Linked DNA regions of Saccharomyces cerevisiae S288C. The gene in region 2 interacts genetically with the main gene of each other region. Each region holds a gene or a part of one and is shown on either strand. Other genes may lie near its edges.

Evidence for each region.
Region 1: mutations in YDJ1 (region 2) and CDC7 together harm fitness more than expected from each alone (negative genetic interaction), as found in Saccharomyces cerevisiae (3 studies listed by BioGRID).
Region 3: mutations in YDJ1 (region 2) and COP1 together harm fitness more than expected from each alone (negative genetic interaction), as found in Saccharomyces cerevisiae (3 studies listed by BioGRID).
Region 4: mutations in YDJ1 (region 2) and HEM13 together harm fitness more than expected from each alone (negative genetic interaction), as found in Saccharomyces cerevisiae (2 studies listed by BioGRID).

What each region holds. Positions count from the first base shown.
Region 1 is NC_001136.10:422,314-426,831, reverse strand, and holds CDC7 (serine/threonine protein kinase CDC7), read right to left. Parts: upstream 2,624-4,518; coding exon 1,100-2,623; downstream 1-1,099. Other genes in the region: trans-2-enoyl-CoA reductase (NADPH) TSC13, read left to right, coding at 1-830; ERP3 (Erp3p), read left to right, coding at 3,322-3,999. UniProt on the Saccharomyces cerevisiae protein: Serine/threonine-protein kinase. Needed for the initiation of DNA synthesis during mitosis as well as for synaptonemal complex formation and commitment to recombination during meiosis. Required for HTA1-HTB1 locus transcription repression.
Region 2 is NC_001146.8:504,769-509,064, forward strand, and holds YDJ1 (type I HSP40 co-chaperone YDJ1), read right to left. Parts: upstream 2,330-4,296; coding exon 1,100-2,329; downstream 1-1,099. Other genes in the region: AQR1 (Aqr1p), read left to right, coding at 1-716; MTQ1 (S-adenosylmethionine-dependent methyltransferase), read left to right, coding at 2,990-3,934; tRNA 1-methyladenosine methyltransferase subunit GCD10, read right to left, coding at 4,008-4,296. UniProt on the Saccharomyces cerevisiae protein: Probably involved in mitochondrial protein import. Is also required for efficient translocation of pre-pro-alpha-factor. Involved in heme regulation of HAP1, as a component of the high-molecular-weight (HMC) complex.
Region 3 is NC_001136.10:193,738-200,100, forward strand, and holds COP1 (coatomer subunit alpha), read right to left. Parts: upstream 4,440-6,363; coding exon 834-4,439; downstream 1-833. Other genes in the region: LDB17 (Ldb17p), read left to right, coding at 1-488; YDL144C (uncharacterized protein), read right to left, coding at 4,925-5,995; chaperonin-containing T-complex subunit CCT4, read left to right, coding at 6,259-6,363. UniProt on the Saccharomyces cerevisiae protein: The coatomer is a cytosolic protein complex that binds to dilysine motifs and reversibly associates with Golgi non-clathrin-coated vesicles, which further mediate biosynthetic protein transport from the ER, via the Golgi up to the trans Golgi network.
Region 4 is NC_001136.10:544,556-548,220, reverse strand, and holds HEM13 (coproporphyrinogen oxidase), read right to left. Parts: upstream 1,580-3,665; coding exon 593-1,579; downstream 1-592. Other genes in the region: DNA-directed RNA polymerase III core subunit RPC11, read left to right, coding at 1-243.

The DNA.
Region 1 (4,518 bases), on a different chromosome or scaffold from region 2:
ATAACCACAATATCAGCAAGTACAGGATAAGATTAACCTACAAAAAGGAATCTAAACAAGTTCCGGTTATTTCAGAATCGTTTTTTCAAGAAGAGGCTGATGACTCAATGGAATTCTTCATCAAAGATTTGGGTCCCCAAATTTCATGGAGATTAGTCTTCTTTTGTGAGTATTTGGGTCCAGTCTTGGTTCACTCCCTTTTTTATTATCTATCTACCATTCCCACAGTTGTTGATAGATGGCACAGTGCTAGCTCCGACTATAATCCATTTTTAAACAGGGTTGCATATTTTTTAATTTTAGGACATTATGGAAAGAGATTATTTGAAACCTTATTTGTTCACCAATTCTCTTTAGCTACTATGCCAATTTTCAACCTGTTCAAAAATTGTTTCCATTACTGGGTTCTAAGCGGTCTCATTTCATTCGGTTACTTTGGCTACGGCTTCCCCTTTGGGAATGCTAAGTTATTCAAATACTATTCATATTTGAAATTGGATGACTTGAGTACATTAATTGGTCTTTTCGTGCTTTCAGAACTATGGAACTTTTATTGCCACATTAAATTGCGCCTATGGGGTGACTATCAAAAGAAGCATGGTAACGCTAAGATCCGTGTCCCATTGAATCAAGGTATTTTCAATCTTTTTGTTGCTCCCAACTATACTTTTGAAGTTTGGTCTTGGATTTGGTTTACTTTTGTGTTCAAGTTCAATTTATTTGCCGTTTTATTTTTGACTGTTTCAACAGCTCAAATGTACGCATGGGCTCAAAAGAAAAACAAAAAGTATCATACCAGAAGAGCATTCTTGATTCCATTTGTATTTTGATCCTCCTGTTTGCAACATGCCCAAATGCAAGGTAAAGAGATATTAGCTTTCACGAAGTGGCGTAGTAGCACTATTGTTTAAGTATCGTCTGCACCTGTGCCTTTTGGTATTTGGCACTATCTTAAGCGCATGCCACCAATTATGCTAAACCGTTTCACTTTAAGAAATTTTTATTTAAATCTTTCACTATGCAAATATGTAAGTACTTTTAAAATTCTCTTTCCAAAGAAAAGGAAATTATTTCAGACTAGCAGTAATTTATCACTTTGCTATTCAGATATTAGGAGAACATCCTTATCGAGCAAATCTGCCTCGCTTGAGCTGACAACGTCATCTTCGTCAGTACTCTCGCCATCCAGTAAATATGTGTTTTCATTCAATTCATTGAAAAACGGGGTTTTCAGTAAATCTTCTGCTGAACTACGCTTTTGAGGATCCATTTCGAAGCATTGTTCCAAAACCTGGAAGCACCAATAATGATCGGACCAAATTTCTTCTTGATACTTTTTCAACTCATAGGCATCAACAGCATCCATATTTGTCTTGGGGTCAGGTAATTGAGGTTCAATGGACATCCTGTCATGTAATTCTTGTTGTAGAAATCCGAATGTTTCAAAAGCAACACTGTACTCAGGGAACGTACCTATGGTACATTCTTTATTAAGCAAATCATAAACAAATTCCTTCAATCCATTAGAATATCCGTTTGGTTTATCCCAAATGAGCCCACTAGCTTCGAAACCCAATCCATGCAACGCTGCGCATTTTCTTAATTCTTTCCAACCAAAAATAGTACATAACTCTAGCAAAGAATCCGCATCATCTAAACTTTGGAACATTGGAAATCTTCTGCCCAAAAGACTTAAAAGAATAACACCTACGGACCATATATCAATCTTTGTGCTTTGAGCCCCACACTTCATTAACACTTCTGGTGCCCGAAATCCACGAGTCCCTGCTCTATTAGCCCTTTTAATTCTACGCGTTTCATTTTTAGGATAACCCTTTGTCAGATCCACCCCATTTACATTGTTTAAGTGGACGACCTTGCCATTTTGTATGGTGACCATAGGAGGTGTTTGGTTATGTGAGTTAGGAGAATATTGATTACGCATAATGCATGGACAAAATTGTTCGTGATTCCTCATTGAATATCCACCATCATGGTTTGTATTTGCATAATTGTCGTAATCGTTTTGACTAGATATCATGCTTTTATAATCCATTTGAGCCTCGGCTAGACCAAAATCAACAAGCACTCCACGCCCCAATTCCAAATTAAATAAAAAATTTGTCGGTTTGATGTCTCTATGAATAATTCCCTTCGAATGAACAAACTTCAATGCTCTTAGTAGCTCCCAAATGTACTTCTTGATTCCCTTGATTGGTAGATCCCTGTAGAAAGTTCGGAACTCCTCGTGGGGATAGTACGGTAAAACAGCAATGACTTGATCTCGCACCCTTTTTGCATCACATAGAGGGGCTACTCTCGAAGATCCCGTCATTATGTACAGCAGGTTGAGCTCATTATAAATTCTTTGCGGTGACGAGGTAACGTATATTTTCTTCAAAGCAACATAGTTCGAACCATAATTCCAAAAATGTGATGCAAATTTTTTTGTTATTTTCCCAGTGATATCTTTGGCTTTATACACTGACGAAAATGTTCCCTCACCGATCTTGTCTATGAGTTTATATTCATTTTCTATACCCGGTAGATCATGATAGAGCTGTATCATCTCTTCTTTGATTTCTGGAGGTATATCATCGATATTCTTCGTTTTGCTTGTCATTATGATTGTTCTACTTCGAAACTGCCTCTTTCCTAAGAAAATTAGATAATAGCACAATTGTTATTGAAAATTTAAGGTAGTCTGTTACTTCCCGTTACGCCTGCTGAGCGGTTTTTTTTGTTAATGGTTCTTGCATTGATTTTAGGCGGAAATGTGAAGTGCTCTTCTACTCACTAAATTGATGCCGTTCAAGAAGACGCCCCAGGGCAAAGAAGACATAATTTAAAAGCTGACCGGGGACAAATGTTTAAGATTTATGTAGGCCTAAGGCGTTTATCGAGCTAAACGGGAAGTAATTTTACTCTATAAAATGTCATCTACACAAGCATTGCCCCATTAGATTCTTAATTATCTTCAAAACCAGGGCTACACCTTAATTTCCCAAGCTAAAAACATGCTTATATAGAGGTTTAAAAAAAAAGCGTCGTTCGTTGATAAAGTTTACGAACGTATCAGTATGATCGCGTAGGTTTCCACATACTACTTAGACTTCCTACACTGTCATGGTCATTATGTCAACAAAGGTGAGACCAACGCGTCCTGACCTGAATTTTTCTCTCTTTAAAACAGAACGCGTTCTTCATAATCCTCTCCTCAATGAAAGAATTTGGGGGGACAATATCTTGACAGAAACTGGTAAGGCTCTTGATAGTTACCGTACTTGAAGGGACACTGTGAACTGACTAAAAAACTCCGTCATGTCCAATTTATGTGTACTTTTCTTCCAGTTTTTTTTTTTAGCACAATTTTTTGCTGAGGCATCACCGTTGACATTTGAACTGAATAAAGGTCGAAAGGAGTGCTTATATACGCTAACTCCGGAAATTGACTGTACAATCTCATATTATTTTGCAGTACAGCAAGGAGAGAGCAATGACTTTGATGTTAACTACGAAATATTTGCTCCTGATGACAAAAACAAGCCAATAATCGAGAGATCTGGTGAACGTCAAGGTGAATGGTCATTTATAGGCCAACATAAGGGAGAATATGCTATCTGCTTTTATGGTGGTAAAGCACACGACAAGATTGTTGATCTGGACTTCAAGTACAATTGTGAACGCCAAGATGATATTCGAAATGAAAGACGCAAGGCGAGAAAGGCGCAGAGAAACCTGAGAGACTCTAAAACCGATCCCTTGCAAGACAGTGTGGAAAATTCTATAGACACCATAGAAAGGCAGCTCCACGTTTTGGAACGTAATATACAGTACTATAAAAGCAGAAACACCAGAAATCATCACACCGTTTGTTCAACAGAGCATAGAATTGTAATGTTTTCTATTTACGGCATATTATTAATCATCGGAATGAGCTGCGCTCAAATTGCCATACTGGAGTTCATTTTCAGAGAATCGAGAAAGCATAATGTGTAAATAGTTGTGTATTGTTCCTGCATTTTCTATCAACTTGAGAATATATGTTCTTCATATTTAATAGGGGAAAGGAATGACATACCGTATCCAAAATAGCCCTTTTGCTCATGTTAAATCTTATGTAATGACAGAGCTGAAGTGACGTTTCTATTAAAGCACATGTCACGATTTAAAAAATCCTATTTCAAAATGTAGCATTGTTTTCTTCGAGAAATTGACAAAATAATCTTTGTAAGAGTAATTTTTTCTTAGCCATTGGCATATGCACCATGCAATTTCCACCTATTTAATTACACTTGCAGTCAATCAACTCGCTTGGGGATGGTATTCCTCTTGGAGTGTTAAACTATATTTTTAGTGAAAGAAGTGATAAGCAAGTGTGCCAGAAAATACAAGGATATAACACAACTTTGAAAAAGAAAAATTGCCGATTCATCTATTAATGTATCTTGTAAAATTGTTTACAAAGAGTCAATCCGCATTACAGGCAAGATTGAACATGCTATCCCAAAGCCTTAA
Region 2 (4,296 bases):
GGCTCTTATTTGCTATGTGGACGTTAATGCTTTCCTCTATTTCATCCGGTTTATCAGTGGCGCCATACAACTATCATTTGGTCATTATTGGTGTGTGTTATCTACCCGGTGGTATTGGCGGTTTAATGGGTTCCTTCTTCACAGGTAGAATTATTGACATGTATTTCAAGAGAAAGATCAAGAAATTCGAGCAAGACAAAGCTAACGGGTTGATTCCACAAGACGCAGAGATTAATATGTTCAAAGTCCGTTTAGTTTGTCTTCTGCCCCAAAATTTCTTGGCCGTCGTAGCCTATCTTTTATTTGGTTGGAGTATAGATAAGGGCTGGAGGATCGAATCTATTTTAATTACTTCATTTGTCTGTTCATACTGTGCTATGAGTACATTATCAACATCAACTACGTTATTGGTCGATTTGTACCCAACGAAATCATCTACAGCAAGTAGTTGTTTCAACTTTGTTAGGTGCAGTTTGAGTACCATCTTCATGGGTTGCTTTGCCAAAATGAAAGCTGCGATGACTGTAGGTGGTACTTTTACATTTTTATGTGCGCTGGTATTTTTCTTCAACTTCTTAATGTTTATTCCGATGAAATATGGTATGAAGTGGAGGGAGGATAGATTATTGAAACAACAAAGACAGTCTTGGTTAAACACCTTGGCAGTCAAAGCCAAAAAGGGAACAAAAAGAGACCAGAACGATAATCATAATTAATTGGCATTCTTCAATTTGATAGACACTTATCCCTGCATATTTTTTTTATAAACAGCTTATAGACTTTCATGTAAATTTTTCCTAATTAATGTATTATTTACTTCGTTAATTTTCCGTTGAATTATTGACATGTTAAAGGTGCACTAAATATACCTAATACAAAAAATGGTTTTCTGTGGCAAATATATACAGTGGAAATTTCAGCATATAATCCCTGCTTTACTCTTTCCTTAAGATTTCGTCATAATTAGAACTTTTTTTGGTAAACTGCATTTTCTACCATTATTACTTTACATATGTATAGCTACAAAACTGTATTTTGAAGTGAAAAGTATGATGAATAAATGAATCGTGAATAAGTTGATCTTTTTTTATCAAGAAAATCATTGAGATGCACATTGAACACCTTCGCCACCTTGTTCTTCTTCATCGGAATCATAGTTTGCACCACCCCTGGAGGCCCGTGTTCTGTTGTATTTGGCTGGGTCAAAGTCTGCGAGTACACATTCGTCCACAGTAGCTTTCTTTGGAATGGCTGGGACAATTCTTGGAGGCAAAATTTCTTCTAACTTCTTCAAGTTTTCTTCTGATGTGAAATGGTTTTCTGGGAACTTGATAGTAAATTTGATGATTAAATTACCATAGCCACCGTATTTTGGAATTGGCATACCTTTACCTTCGATGACCTTACGCATACCTGGGGCAATAACTTCACCTGGAACAATACCGACCTTTAACCAATCACCAGAAACATGTTCCAATGCAAATTCACCACCAGCGATAGCAGTCAATAGATCAATTTCAGCCTCATATACTAAATCATCACCATCTCTCTTGAAGCTCTTGTGTGGTCTCTCAGAAACTATGAAGACAACATCACCTGGAATGACATCTGGGGCTTGGTCAGCTTCACCTTTGAAAACGATTCTTTGACCATCTTTCATACCTGGTTCGACATGGACTTCTAGGATCTTCCTTTCGTTTTCAACTTTCTTACCGTTACAAGATTTACAACGATCCTTAGGATCAATGATATCACCAGTACCGTGACAGACATCACACTCTGTTTGGAATCTTTGGATCATTGGACCCATTTGTCTTGTTACAAATTTAATACCTTGACCATTACAGCTGGTACACTTCTTGACGGCGCCTTTCTTACCACCACGACCTTCACATTCTTTACATAGGATCTGTTTGTTAAGGGCTAACTTAGCTGTCCTACCCTTATATAATTCTTCAAGTGAGGCAGAAATTTCATGCTTGATATCTTTACCTCTTTGGGGACCTCTTGGTCTTTGTGCGCCACCAGCACCAAAGAATTGGGAAAAGATATCGTCACCAAAACCGAATCCACCACCTGGGAATCCGCCAGCGCCACCAGCACCACTTAGACCATCTTCACCAAATTGGTCATATATATCTCTCTTTTCAGGATCTGATAAAATTTCATAGGCTGCTGAAGCTTCTTTGAACTTTTCTGCAGCTTCCTCACTTGGATTCTTATCTGGATGGTATTTTAAGGCGCATTTTCTATAAGCTTTCTTAATTTCGACATCAGTGGCAGTTACTGGAACACCTAGAATATCGTAAAACTTAGTTTCTTTAACCATCTTTGGACGTTTATTATTGTTGTTGGAAGATGTAGAATTCAGTTTGGATAATTTTTAATTATGTTCTATCAAAAGATATGGTAACAAATAACAAAAAAATAAATACGTAACAGTTATCAAATAAGACGCTTGTTCGGGCCTAATATATATGGGGAAAAGGACTTTTTGTGACTTTGATTTATAAAAACGAACTACACACCTTATCAAACAAGAACTACCTAACCAACATATAAACGTAGAGCAAGTTTTTACACGTTTTATAAGTACGTGGATTGATCTGCAAGTTAAATACTTTCCATACCTGCCGATGCTCTATTGCCTTTTCATTTCTTGAAAAAGAAATGAAAAAATTTTCTATTTTTTCGATGGCCTTCTATAATTTTGTACGAAATATTATAGGTCAGGTGTATATCACGTGCTCAAACCAGCGACTTCACATCTTATTTTATACCAACATACTCATTATAACAATGTATTCCATAGTTGAATACACACAACTCAAACGTGTATAAACGACTTTATTTTGCCGACTCTCTACGGTCAATGTCTTGTTACGTTTTCAAGTGCTTTTAGAAACTCTGCACTCTCTTCCCCTTAACTCGTAGACAAGGAGCGATAGTTGAATGGTAGGAACGAAAAAGAAACGGTTAGAAAGAACATATGCCTCGAATATCTACATCATTGATAAGAAAAGCTTCGAGAATACGACCTGGTTTGCATCTTTTGCTTCCAGAATGTAGGACTCTCGAGCAAGCGAAACTCGAGTACAAATGGCTCACCGAAGAGCTGCCTCCGGATAAATCAATCCGCTGGGCTTGCTTACAGAGATACAAACACGTCCCATTGCAGTACATCTTAAGATCGCAACCGTTTGGGGCCTTGGACATAGTTTGCAAGCCTGGTGTTCTTATACCAAGATGGGAAACCGAGGAATGGGTGATGGCCATAATAAGAGCTCTAAACAACTCTATGCTTTCAAGGCATACTATACCACTGCATATTTGTGATACGTTTACAGGAACAGGGTGTATTGCTCTCGCTTTGAGTCATGGTATAGCAAATTGCACGTTCACTGCCATTGACGTGTCAACAAGAGCAATTAAGTTGGTTAAAGAAAATATGCTGAAAAACAAGGTGAGTGGTGGTAAGCTCGTGCAACATAATATATTGTCCTCAAAAGCTAGCGATGAATATCCATCCCATATAGATATATTAACCGGTAACCCCCCCTACATTCGAAAGCGTGACTTCAATAGAGATGTTAAAACTTCCGTAAAGCTGTTCGAACCAAGGCTAGCGCTAGTGGGTGAGCTTGAATGCTATATAAATCTAGTAAATTATTGGCTGCCGAAGACAGACTCCTTCTTTTATGAGATTGGAGACGTTGAACAGTTTAATTACGTGGAGAGGCGCATTAAAGAAGATTCATATCTCAGCCGTATTTGGTCTATTGGTTTGAAATATGACTCGAATGGGAAAGCAAGAGTCGTATATGGGTTTAAGGCCACTCCCAAAGGGCGAATACTACACCAGATTTTTGCATCCTTTGGGACTATAAGACATTTAGCAACCGCACTCAGTGGGCACAAAGCTAATTGCAACTAAGTATATAAATGTAAATATATATATTCTCAGGTTTTTTTGTTGGAAGTTATCAAACGGAACACTCTGTGGACATTTATATTTTTTGTTTCTTAGCTCCATGTTCAGCAAGCTTTTCACTGGAGTCAGCTGCAGTCGCGTTTTCCGATACAGGTTCAGGAGCAGGGATGACTCTGTGACACCACATTAGATATCCACCACCACCTTTCATGGTCATCAGAGGGTGTAGCTTACCCCTTATACTTTGGTACGGCCTACATCTAGTTTCCAAAATTGATGGTGCTAAAAACCTGAGGTCTGAATATAAAGTATGAGCTAATTCCAACAAAGTTTCTTTGAATTGACCATAGCATACAATCGGCCTT
Region 3 (6,363 bases), on a different chromosome or scaffold from region 2:
TATTAATCAGAGAACTACAGAATATCAGTGAGGATGAAGAGGTATTGAGAAACACCCTTCTAAGGGTTCTGATTCCGCTATTAAAGAATACACAATTATCCAAAACACATTATAGAAAGGATGATTTGAATAAACTATTAAACTACTTGTCGACTTTAGATAATATATGCGTTGACAGTCCAGCGTTGCACGAGCATCAAGTTACAGTGGCCTTATCTCGGAAGTGTCTTCAACAAATTCCTTGGTTAGAGACACCTTCAACGCCTTCAGATGGAGGTTCATCGGTCTCTAGTAATAACACTAGTAGAAACTCTAGCATTGTTGCATTGGGGACGCCCGACAATCAAAATATCTTGGCTCGTAAAGGCCATCTTTATAGTAATCGTGAATTAGATGTTTCTGCAGAATCTTTGACTAAAAGAAAGGCTAAAGCTCCGCCTCCGCCTCCTCCTCCTCCTCCATCAAGAAAATGTGGAACTCCAAAATAAGTAAAGCATTATTTCTTCTTGCATTAATGTGGTTCTTCCGACCATTTCTTCTTCTACTCACTGCAGTATCTAATGACACATTGTACTTTTTATATACAAATGCAACAATCGTAACTATAAAACTAAAGTTCGGGTTGCTTCCGAATACATGCTGGCAGAATTTCAGGTTGTGTGTCACTTGTTAAAATAGGCGATATTTTTTATTTTAGAAGTTGTATATAACTGTTAATTACATAGTCAGTTTTTTTTTTTCACTATCATATTGTTTAGATTAAAAGGACTTGTCACATGAAATTTAGGTCGAGCAGAATACAATCCCGAGAAAATCAATAGGCAAAATAGCATTTATACACGTATTCTTAATCCGGATGCAGGTGCACCGATCTTAGAAATCATAGCAATTCTATCTATTTTATCTTTTTCCGTGATAACGTATTTACTACCTGTTAATGGGTCAGAAACGGAAGGTGTATCTTCATAAATTGGTTTGTAGGTGGCTGCACAAATATCGAATTTAGCATAAGGATCAAAGTCAATTGGAATGGCGTCACTGGCCATTGAGTCGGCTTTGTTTTTGATTTTACGTGCTTGTTCTGCACGAGGACCAGAAGAAATAATCTTTAAAAATTCACCGGCAAAATATGAGGCCTGTAAGAAATTTTTGTGTTTGAAATGTTGGGACATAGCCACTTGTAAAGCATTGGTACGATGAATTGGGGATAGTTTTGCCTTTGTAAAGTATGCAGCTAGCTCAAGCATGCGTACAGTATTTCCCTCCTTTAATGAGCGGCGTTCCAATTCAATGGATAAACCTAATATATACTCCCTAGCAGTTTCCAGTATCTTGTGTGCTAATTTTTCATCTTCAGCATCATCGACCATTAATAGCGTAATACGGTAGATAGCTTCTCTGAAGCATTCGATTGCAATATCTGGTTTGTTTAGTTTAAAGTTTTTGTAACCCTCATTCATTTTTTCATTAACGACATCAAGACCTGGCACGTAAGGAAGAATTTGATCTTCACTTACGGTATCATCATACGCTCTGACATAACCTAATTGAGCAGGAAGTTCACAGGGCGTACTAGGAATGTATGTTCTACAACCCTCATAAATGTTGGTAAAATATTTCTTCAATGGCTCCAGCTTGACTACACCCACTTGCTTGCTCAAGGCTTGAACAGCGGCATCAAAGGCACCAGCGGCAACTAGGACAGCAGGCAGTTTAGAATTCTTGATCCAAATGGCTGTTTCAACTTCCTGTGCTGGAGAGGTAATTTCGCCTTGCTCAACTTCTTCAGGTAACTCTTCTCCCACATCCAAATCTTCGTCACCCAAATCCCAGGCACCTTCGTCTTCACCAATATCCTCATCGTTAAAGTTTTCTTCGCCTAGTGGTTCTTCTTGCTCTTGAGTGGTGTTTACTGCTGGAGTTTCATCGTCTATAGTCAAATCGTCAATTTGACCTAAAACAGCCTTTTCAAAGTAAGATAGTTCAGCCTCTTTTAATGGCCATTTTTCAAGTGGCTTTGAGATCACTGGTCTTTGAACGAAGTTGGAGGCATCCATCTGGTCTGGTAAAGTAACATCTTGTTCATCAACTTCAGCTTGCTCCAAGAAAGCAGAAGCAGCCGCTTCATCTCCGTTAGCCTTTGCTACGGCATAAGCTAATGGTAAAGAGCCGCCCTCTGCAAAAATGCTAGATCTTTCCTTGGTTGAATTGTTGTAAAAGGTGTTTAATAGCATACTTCCAAAGTCTTCACGAGTCTGAGCGATATTTTGCATTTTAGATAGTTTGTTAACGTCACCTGTAACTAAATACAGGAAGGAAAGTTTGTCAAAAGAATGTTGAGTTTGATAAATCATTTCAGCTAAGCTGGCATTACCTTGTGCCAAGGCTTCTTGGATTAATCTTTCCCAAGTACTAGAATCATTCAGTTTTTTGGCTTCATCTAAGGCAACATCCAAATTACCGTATTCCAAAGCTAAATCAAAACGGATATGTGGGTCTTGAACGAATTGTAAAGCAATTTCTGGGTAACCTGACTTCTGCAGATAGGAAATGATATTCTGGCCAACCAAATTAGAATCTTTTATCAGACGTAAAACTTCTGGGAAATTTTTGTTAACCAGGGCCTTTTTGAAGCGATATTCTGTAGGATCAATGGTTAAAATTTCAATCTCACCTTCACGGTTCAAGCAGTACACTAATTTTCCCTGAACTTTTGTGATATATAAAGTTTTCTCCAAAGTTTTAATAATACCTCTATCCCCGTTCAATAGTGAGTACCTTATATGATTTAAAGTTGAATAAATTAATACACCAGTTTCATCCCAAGCGGCACTTTTGATTCTAATCGTTTCATGCATAGAATTAATCAATTCTAGCTTTTTGGTAGCCAAAGTTATGGTGTGCTTACTCATCAATGCAACATATTGACCATCTAAGGACCACGAAACGTACTTGACGTTTTTAACAGCCAATTGGGATACTTTTTTGCCCTGTTGGACATCATAAAGAATAACTTCTCTGGGGTGTATGACCAAAACAGATCCAGGACCTGCAGCTACAATAGTTCTTACTGTTTCCTCTACTTTGATATTTCTTGTAACTTTGTTTTCGAGAGAGCGAACTTCAACAGATTCAGTGTTCTTGTTGTAAACAACAAATCTATTACGACCAACAAAAGTAGCAAAATTACCTGTATCTTGGGTGACACTTGTTGGCTCCACAGCTCCAACTGGTTGTTTTGGTAAAATAACGAGAGCAAATTTGCCATTAGCTTCATTAACCAAAACTGAATGTTGGGAGGGATTGTACGATATACTTCTGAATGCATCCCAAGGTTGACCAATACCCTTTAAGGACGCATAAGGTAATGAAGCGACTCTTTTCTGGAAATTGAAACTTTGGATTTGCTTTTCCGCATTGACAAAAAACAACTGGTTTTGATGGATAAAGCTGCATGGTCTTTCGCGATCGAGCTTGAAAACCATAATACCAGAATCGTGAGCTGCACCAAATAGATTGATATGAGGATGTGCTGCAATCAACCAAAATCTATCGTTTTCTCTTTTGAATTGCTTTACTGGAGTTCTCTTGTCAAGATCCCAAACCCTTAGCGTTTTGTCTTCACCGACAGAAATGATCAAGTTTTGATGTGGGTGAAAGATAACACTATCAACATTGTTAGTGTGACCTCTGCAAGTATCAACTTCCCAAGCTTTCGTAGCACTCATTCTCCATAATTTAACTTGACGGTCGTCACTGCCGGAGACAATCAATGGTAAAGTTGGATGGAAAGAGGCCCAGTTGACACCTCTTGTGTGACCCTCTAGAATAAACTTGACAACACAGTCACCAAGAGAGCCATCCAATAGATTTTGTTGTGCACTCATTTGCTCCTCAAATGAACTAGTACCAGGAGCGGAGTGTCTTTTCCTTAAACCGGAAATATCCCAAATTCTGATGGTTTCATCCAGAGAAGCGGAAACGATCAGGTCATCGGTTGGATGAAATTGAGCACACATGACAAAATGATTGTGGCCGGTCAAACATGCAATTTCCTTACGGTTTTGCCAGTTCCAGATTCTTATGGTCTGGTCATCAGAAGCAGATATGATCCAAGGCAGCTCACGGTGGAAAAACACGGTACGGACATAATCCAAATGCCCAGTTAAGGTGTATAGACATTTGTTAGTATCTAAGGACCAAACTTTAATGGTATAGTCGTCACCTGCCGAAACAAAAATCGGTTGGGTTGGATGGAAATCTAGCCCACGAACAGGGCCCTCGTGGTCTTCAAATCTGTGAAGTAGTGTTCCCATCCTGTAATCCCATAATTGAATAGTAGAGGAAAACAAAGCCACCAAAACCCAAGGTCTGGAGGGGTGGAAGGCAATGCCCTTGGCCCTAGTGGACTTTGATTCAAATTTAGTTAACATCTTCATCTTGATCCAGTAATGAAATGAACAAAGACACTACAGAAGAAAAAAAGTATACTGATTTCAGGTTAAATAAACCGCGAATTTGTAAACAGGTATGATAATGTTTTTATTCAAAAGTGTAAAGGGAAGATAAAATAAAAAGAAAAAACTTTATATCTTAAGCAAAGAAGGGGGTAAGTAACAAATGTTTGGAAAATCCTGCTGGTTTCGCCAATTCTATGATTTACCTAATTGCAATGCCTCTTCAAACAAGTTTGTGGTCCCTGTATGCTACTGAATCGAGGCTCAATCGTCACAGTCTCGAAGACGGATCTGTTATTTATTCAAGTTGGCAAATTGTCGATTTCGTTTCGTGTTGTCGAAATTTTCGGTCGCTCTGTACGTCGTATAAATGCTGACAATAAGAATAATAGTTAAGAGTACATACTAAATTATGTGTTACAATATACTAGATGAAGGCTCGTCAACGAGGCAAGCAATGGTTGGAACTACTCGTCCACAAGAGTGGCAGTTTTTTCGTCGAACTTCAATAGGCCTTTCCGCTCCTTTAGTTTGGCCTGTACTAGCACAAGTAGGTTGTATAAGATAGAAAGAGTGGGTGTAGCGACGCCGTTTCTTTTCGCGATTCTTATGGGGTTGCCTAGGATGACTTCTAGCTCCATCAATTGGCCCTTCTCGCAGTCCACGCACATGGATGGCTTGAACACCTTTTTCCTGGTAATCTCTGTAAACATCGTTATGAACTCCTCTTCGATAATGATGCCTTCACTCGCCGCAATGGCGATGATCTCCCTCATGGCAGGGTGGAACACTTCAATTTCTGTGCTCTTCTTGTTAACCCCAAACTCCAGGCAACGCGGAACGTCTAGCCCCACAAGTGCCGTGGATGTGTTGATAGCTGCATTGTAGAGCAACTTCTTCCACCGAGAGTAACGGACCCTAGGGTCAAATTCGACAAAGTTTTGCCCCTCGTTGCTGTACATCCTGACGAAGTCGTTGGCAGCCTGGATAGCAGCAGCGTCCTGTGGATCAAAAGCTCCACACGATAAGTGGTCCTGGCCCACTTGACTGATATGGCCTGACCCGATCTTAGTGGATCCGATTAACTGGATGCCAGAAAGCACCGTGTAACGATACTGCTCTCTGGGAAATTCCGCCCATATCTCCTTCTCAATATCGATTCCGTTCTGTACCAGTAAAATGTGTGTCGTCAATTGCGGCCCATGTAGCTCTTTATTCTTCTCAAGCACAGGTCTGATGATGTTGGACACCCTTGAATTAACGGGCCCATCTATGATGTTCTTGGTAGTCACTACAATATAGTTGTATCCTTGGTTGTCTGCGGCAGAAGCAGCGTCCTCGACGCTGCTGTAAATATGGTGGGGTCTCCAACCTTCTAACCGGCCATAGTCACATGATTCGATTGTGTAGCCATGCTTCAATACCCTATCGTAGTCAGATCTGACTACCAAGGAAACGTCGCTCTCCTTCTTAAGCCACAACGAAAGCGCAGTAATGACCCCAACGCCACCTGCCCCGATAACTAGTATTCTAGACATTTTCGACATTAGCTTATGCCAACTTGTATCCTGGCACCGGGACTGTAGTTTATGAGGTATATCAATATGTCCTAATTAAGGCTATATAATTTGGTATTACTATCACTTGCCACGGGGAAACTGAAATTTTTTTCGTTTCGCCACCAAGAAAGGCTAATTGAATACAGTTCAAGAGGTTGATATAGCTAAGTGGGCATGAAGGTTATGAATTGTAATTGGAGGTGCGGCAAGTGTGCAAGACGGGTAAAGGAGAGTATAGAACGATGTCTGCTAAAGTTCCATCTAACGCCACGTTTAAGAACAAGGAAAAACCTCAAGAGGTTCGCAAAGCCAACATCATCGCTGCACGTTCTGTTGCAGATGCCATC
Region 4 (3,665 bases), on a different chromosome or scaffold from region 2:
TATGAGTTTCCTATAGAGGGTATAGAAATCTATGATAGGAAGAAACTTCCAAGAAAGGAAGTTGATGATGTTCTTGGTGGTGGTTGGGACAATGTGGATCAAACCAAAACCCAATGTCCCAATTATGATACTTGTGGTGGTGAGAGTGCTTACTTTTTCCAACTACAAATTAGGTCAGCTGATGAGCCGATGACTACCTTTTATAAGTGTGTAAACTGTGGTCATAGATGGAAGGAAAATTAAGAAGTCCTTGAATATAAGATGAATTTTCTAAGAATAAAAAGAGTAATAAAAACATCTTAAAATTTGATTAGAAGGCATGATCGCATATTGAGAATGAAGGCTGCTGCCATATTTTTAGAGCAATAGATACTGATATAATTTTTGATCCTGCACGTACTGTGAACTTGCATCATAAATAGGACGCAATAATTAATATTTTTAAGAATAGAGATCCTGTATCAATTGAATTTGAAGAATTATGTAAAGGAGGTATAATAAATAGATAAAAAAATGTATAAATAAGTGGTCGAAATAATTAAATCATCATTGTCATTGAGATCATAAAATCGGTCTGCTAAAGAACCTTGAATTATTTAACCCACTCTCTTGGTTTGGTGGTAACTTCTAGTAATTTAGCTTCTCTGGAACCAGGAGCAGGGTGGTGGTTGTATAACCATGAAGCATGTTCAGGCAAACTCATCAAAATTGACTCAACTCTAGAGCCTGGGGTTCTCAAACCGAATTGGGTACCTCTATCGTAGATTAAGTTGAATTCAACGTATCTACCACGTCTAATGGCCTGCCATTGTTGTTCTTCCTTTGTATATGGCATATCTTTTCTTCTCTTGACGATAGTCAAGTAGGATGGCAAGAAAGCATCGAAACAGTCTTCAACCATCTTCAATATTTCTTGTGGGTCACGTTCATCATAATCGTCAAAGAATATACCACCAATACCACGTGTTTCCTTACGGTGGGTAATGTAGAAGTACTCATCACACCATTTCTTGAAACGTGGGTACAAAGCAGTGTCGTGCTTGTCCAAGGCATCCTTGTGCAGTTGGTGGAATAATTGACCGTCTTCTTCGTATAAGTAAGAAGGTGTCAAATCAGCACCACCACCAAACCACCAAGTTTGTGGGGTCCCATCTTGGTTCCAAGTTTCGAAGTAACGGTAGTTTAAGTGCGTGGTTGGAGCGTGTGGGTTAACGGGATGAATGACCATACTTAAACCACAAGCGAAGAACTTGACACCGTCGGTAACTGGCAAACCAGTCTTTGGATCTTCTGGTAGACGCAGATTCTTATGATCAGCTTTCATGGCTGAAACGGCCGCTGGGCTCAATTGACCATAAACAACGGAGACATTAACACCACCTTTTTCGAAAGTTGTACCGTCTTGGATAACCATAGAGGTACCACCACCACCATCGTTACCACGGGTCCAAGTATCAGCGTGGAACTTAACAGTATCGATGGATTCCAAACCTTGCGTGATTTCAGCTTGTTTGCGACGGATAAGAGCTTCCATTTGTTGTCTAATTGGAAGATTCCTTGGATCTTGAGGGGCAGGCATCTTTATGTGTATTTAATTGTGTTCGAAGAGTTCGGTTTGCTATGTTTGATTTGCGAAAAGAAAGCTTTTGATATGCTCAAAAAAAGAAAACCCGGAGAATAAAAGCTTAACAAAGAAAGACAATAGGTGGAAAAAAAAAGGAAAATCCGTGTCCTTATATAGCCTTTCGAAACGAGAACAATGGGCAAAGCAAGCTTTATCTTCGGATCGTCCGTCAGCGCTTTGGTTGCAGTCTTATGCTTTGTTCAAGCTGGAGCGTTATTGGTGGGAGAACCAGAAAAGGCGAAAGCGTAGCGTTCTTTGAAATTTGGCTTCTGTTCCTGCGACTCGTTTAAAAGTAGAAGGGCCCGCGGAGCCGCTGTGAAAGATTTCTTTTACTCTTTCAGCGCAGAAATCTCGCAGGAGCTCAGCAGAAAGTGCCTATGACGGTAATCCCAGGGGCTAATGGTGTGAAGGCACTTTCTAAACAATTGAAATTAAAATACCGTGCCTATAGTAACTTTTTTTTACGCTGTGAACCGTTCAACACACAGTAAAAACTCCGCAGGAAATGGTTTGAAGAATCTTAATCACGAATTAGGCGTATTGTTTTTCCCAACAGTGAACGAGAGGACAAACTCCAGAGGATTTGCGGGCTTGATGATAAAATGTATTGTTGAAAAGATCGCGAATGCAACAATTACGGTGGGGAGAAATATCAACAAAAGGGCAAGGCTATGCCTTCTGGAAAGTGGCAGACTTGCACTTTCCTCGAAAAGAAAAATGACCGCAAGATCCGGTTGTTCTCAACCTTCTACATTAAGACATACTTCTACGATTTTCGAATGCCGAAGCAACTATCGCTGAAATTTGTCATGTCAAAATTGCTACTGGGGGAGAAGAATATATATGGAAGTAATTATTATTTACGTTGCTGAAATGGCAGGTTAGACGCATGTTTTGCAAAATAAGTGGTTTTGAAAAGAATTGATACTAGGAATCGGTGCAATACCTTCTACCTTTCTTAATAGGTATTCTTGAATAATCTACCTCACTTTCTGTCCCAGATACGAGATGTCGAGCGCCTCGAAAATAGATATCGTTTATTACGTTAGATACGGAAAGGTCTACGTGTCATAATAAATTGCATCTGGATTGCGATTTTGGGTCATGCCTAACTGGGAAAATATTTACATCTCCATGTTCTCATTCTGCCTTTGCTTTCCTTCAAAACATGGTTTTCAATTCAACCTAGGGTCTACCGCGGAACCATATGTACGCCGTAAATGCGAGTGTTCTTGAAAGGTAGTAATGTGTTCCCTCTCAATATGTAAGTCCTTCAAGAGTATGCACTTGCAGTTGCACTGTTTCGGGTAATTATCCGTCATTAAGAAAAAGATGCTTCCACTTTCTCGTGTTTTTACGCACAATCGTGCCATTTAACCGGAAATAGACTCCATTGCATTGATTGCTCTCATAAAAATTATAGCCCGCGTTTGATACTTGTTTAAAATAGGTGTCGACAAAGTTAGTTTCTGTCTTCCATTTAGTTTTTACAATATGACACGTCAAATAAATCTTTTCGATTTAGTTAAAAGAGTTACCTGGCGATAGCCTTCTGGTAAAACACCTATTCATAAAACAATCTTAAAAAACCAAAAAATTACCAAACAACTATGTAGGACATATTTTTACAGTTCATAAAAACGCTTCGAGCTGCCGATATCGGTATCAAACACCAAAATATACATAGTGCTGGTTTAAGCCAGAATATCTTGGTGAAGCTGCGCCTATATGCCTTGTATTTAAAACAAGTCACGAAAAGCTATTGCCAAAGGAACATAAAAACTCGTATCTATGTTATATTATAAAAAAGATATAATATTTATATATTATTATTAATATTATTTTTTAGTTCCGAAAGGAGAAACTTATAATTTTTATATCATTATTTATTATTATTTTTAATTTCAACTCCTTTTATACCTATTACTGCATGTGGAGAAAAGATTAAACCAGGCGAGGCAATTTACACTTATTCATTGAGATAAGATGAAAGAGCCACGCCTCGTTACATTTAGGCTACATCATATAACAACTAGTCCCA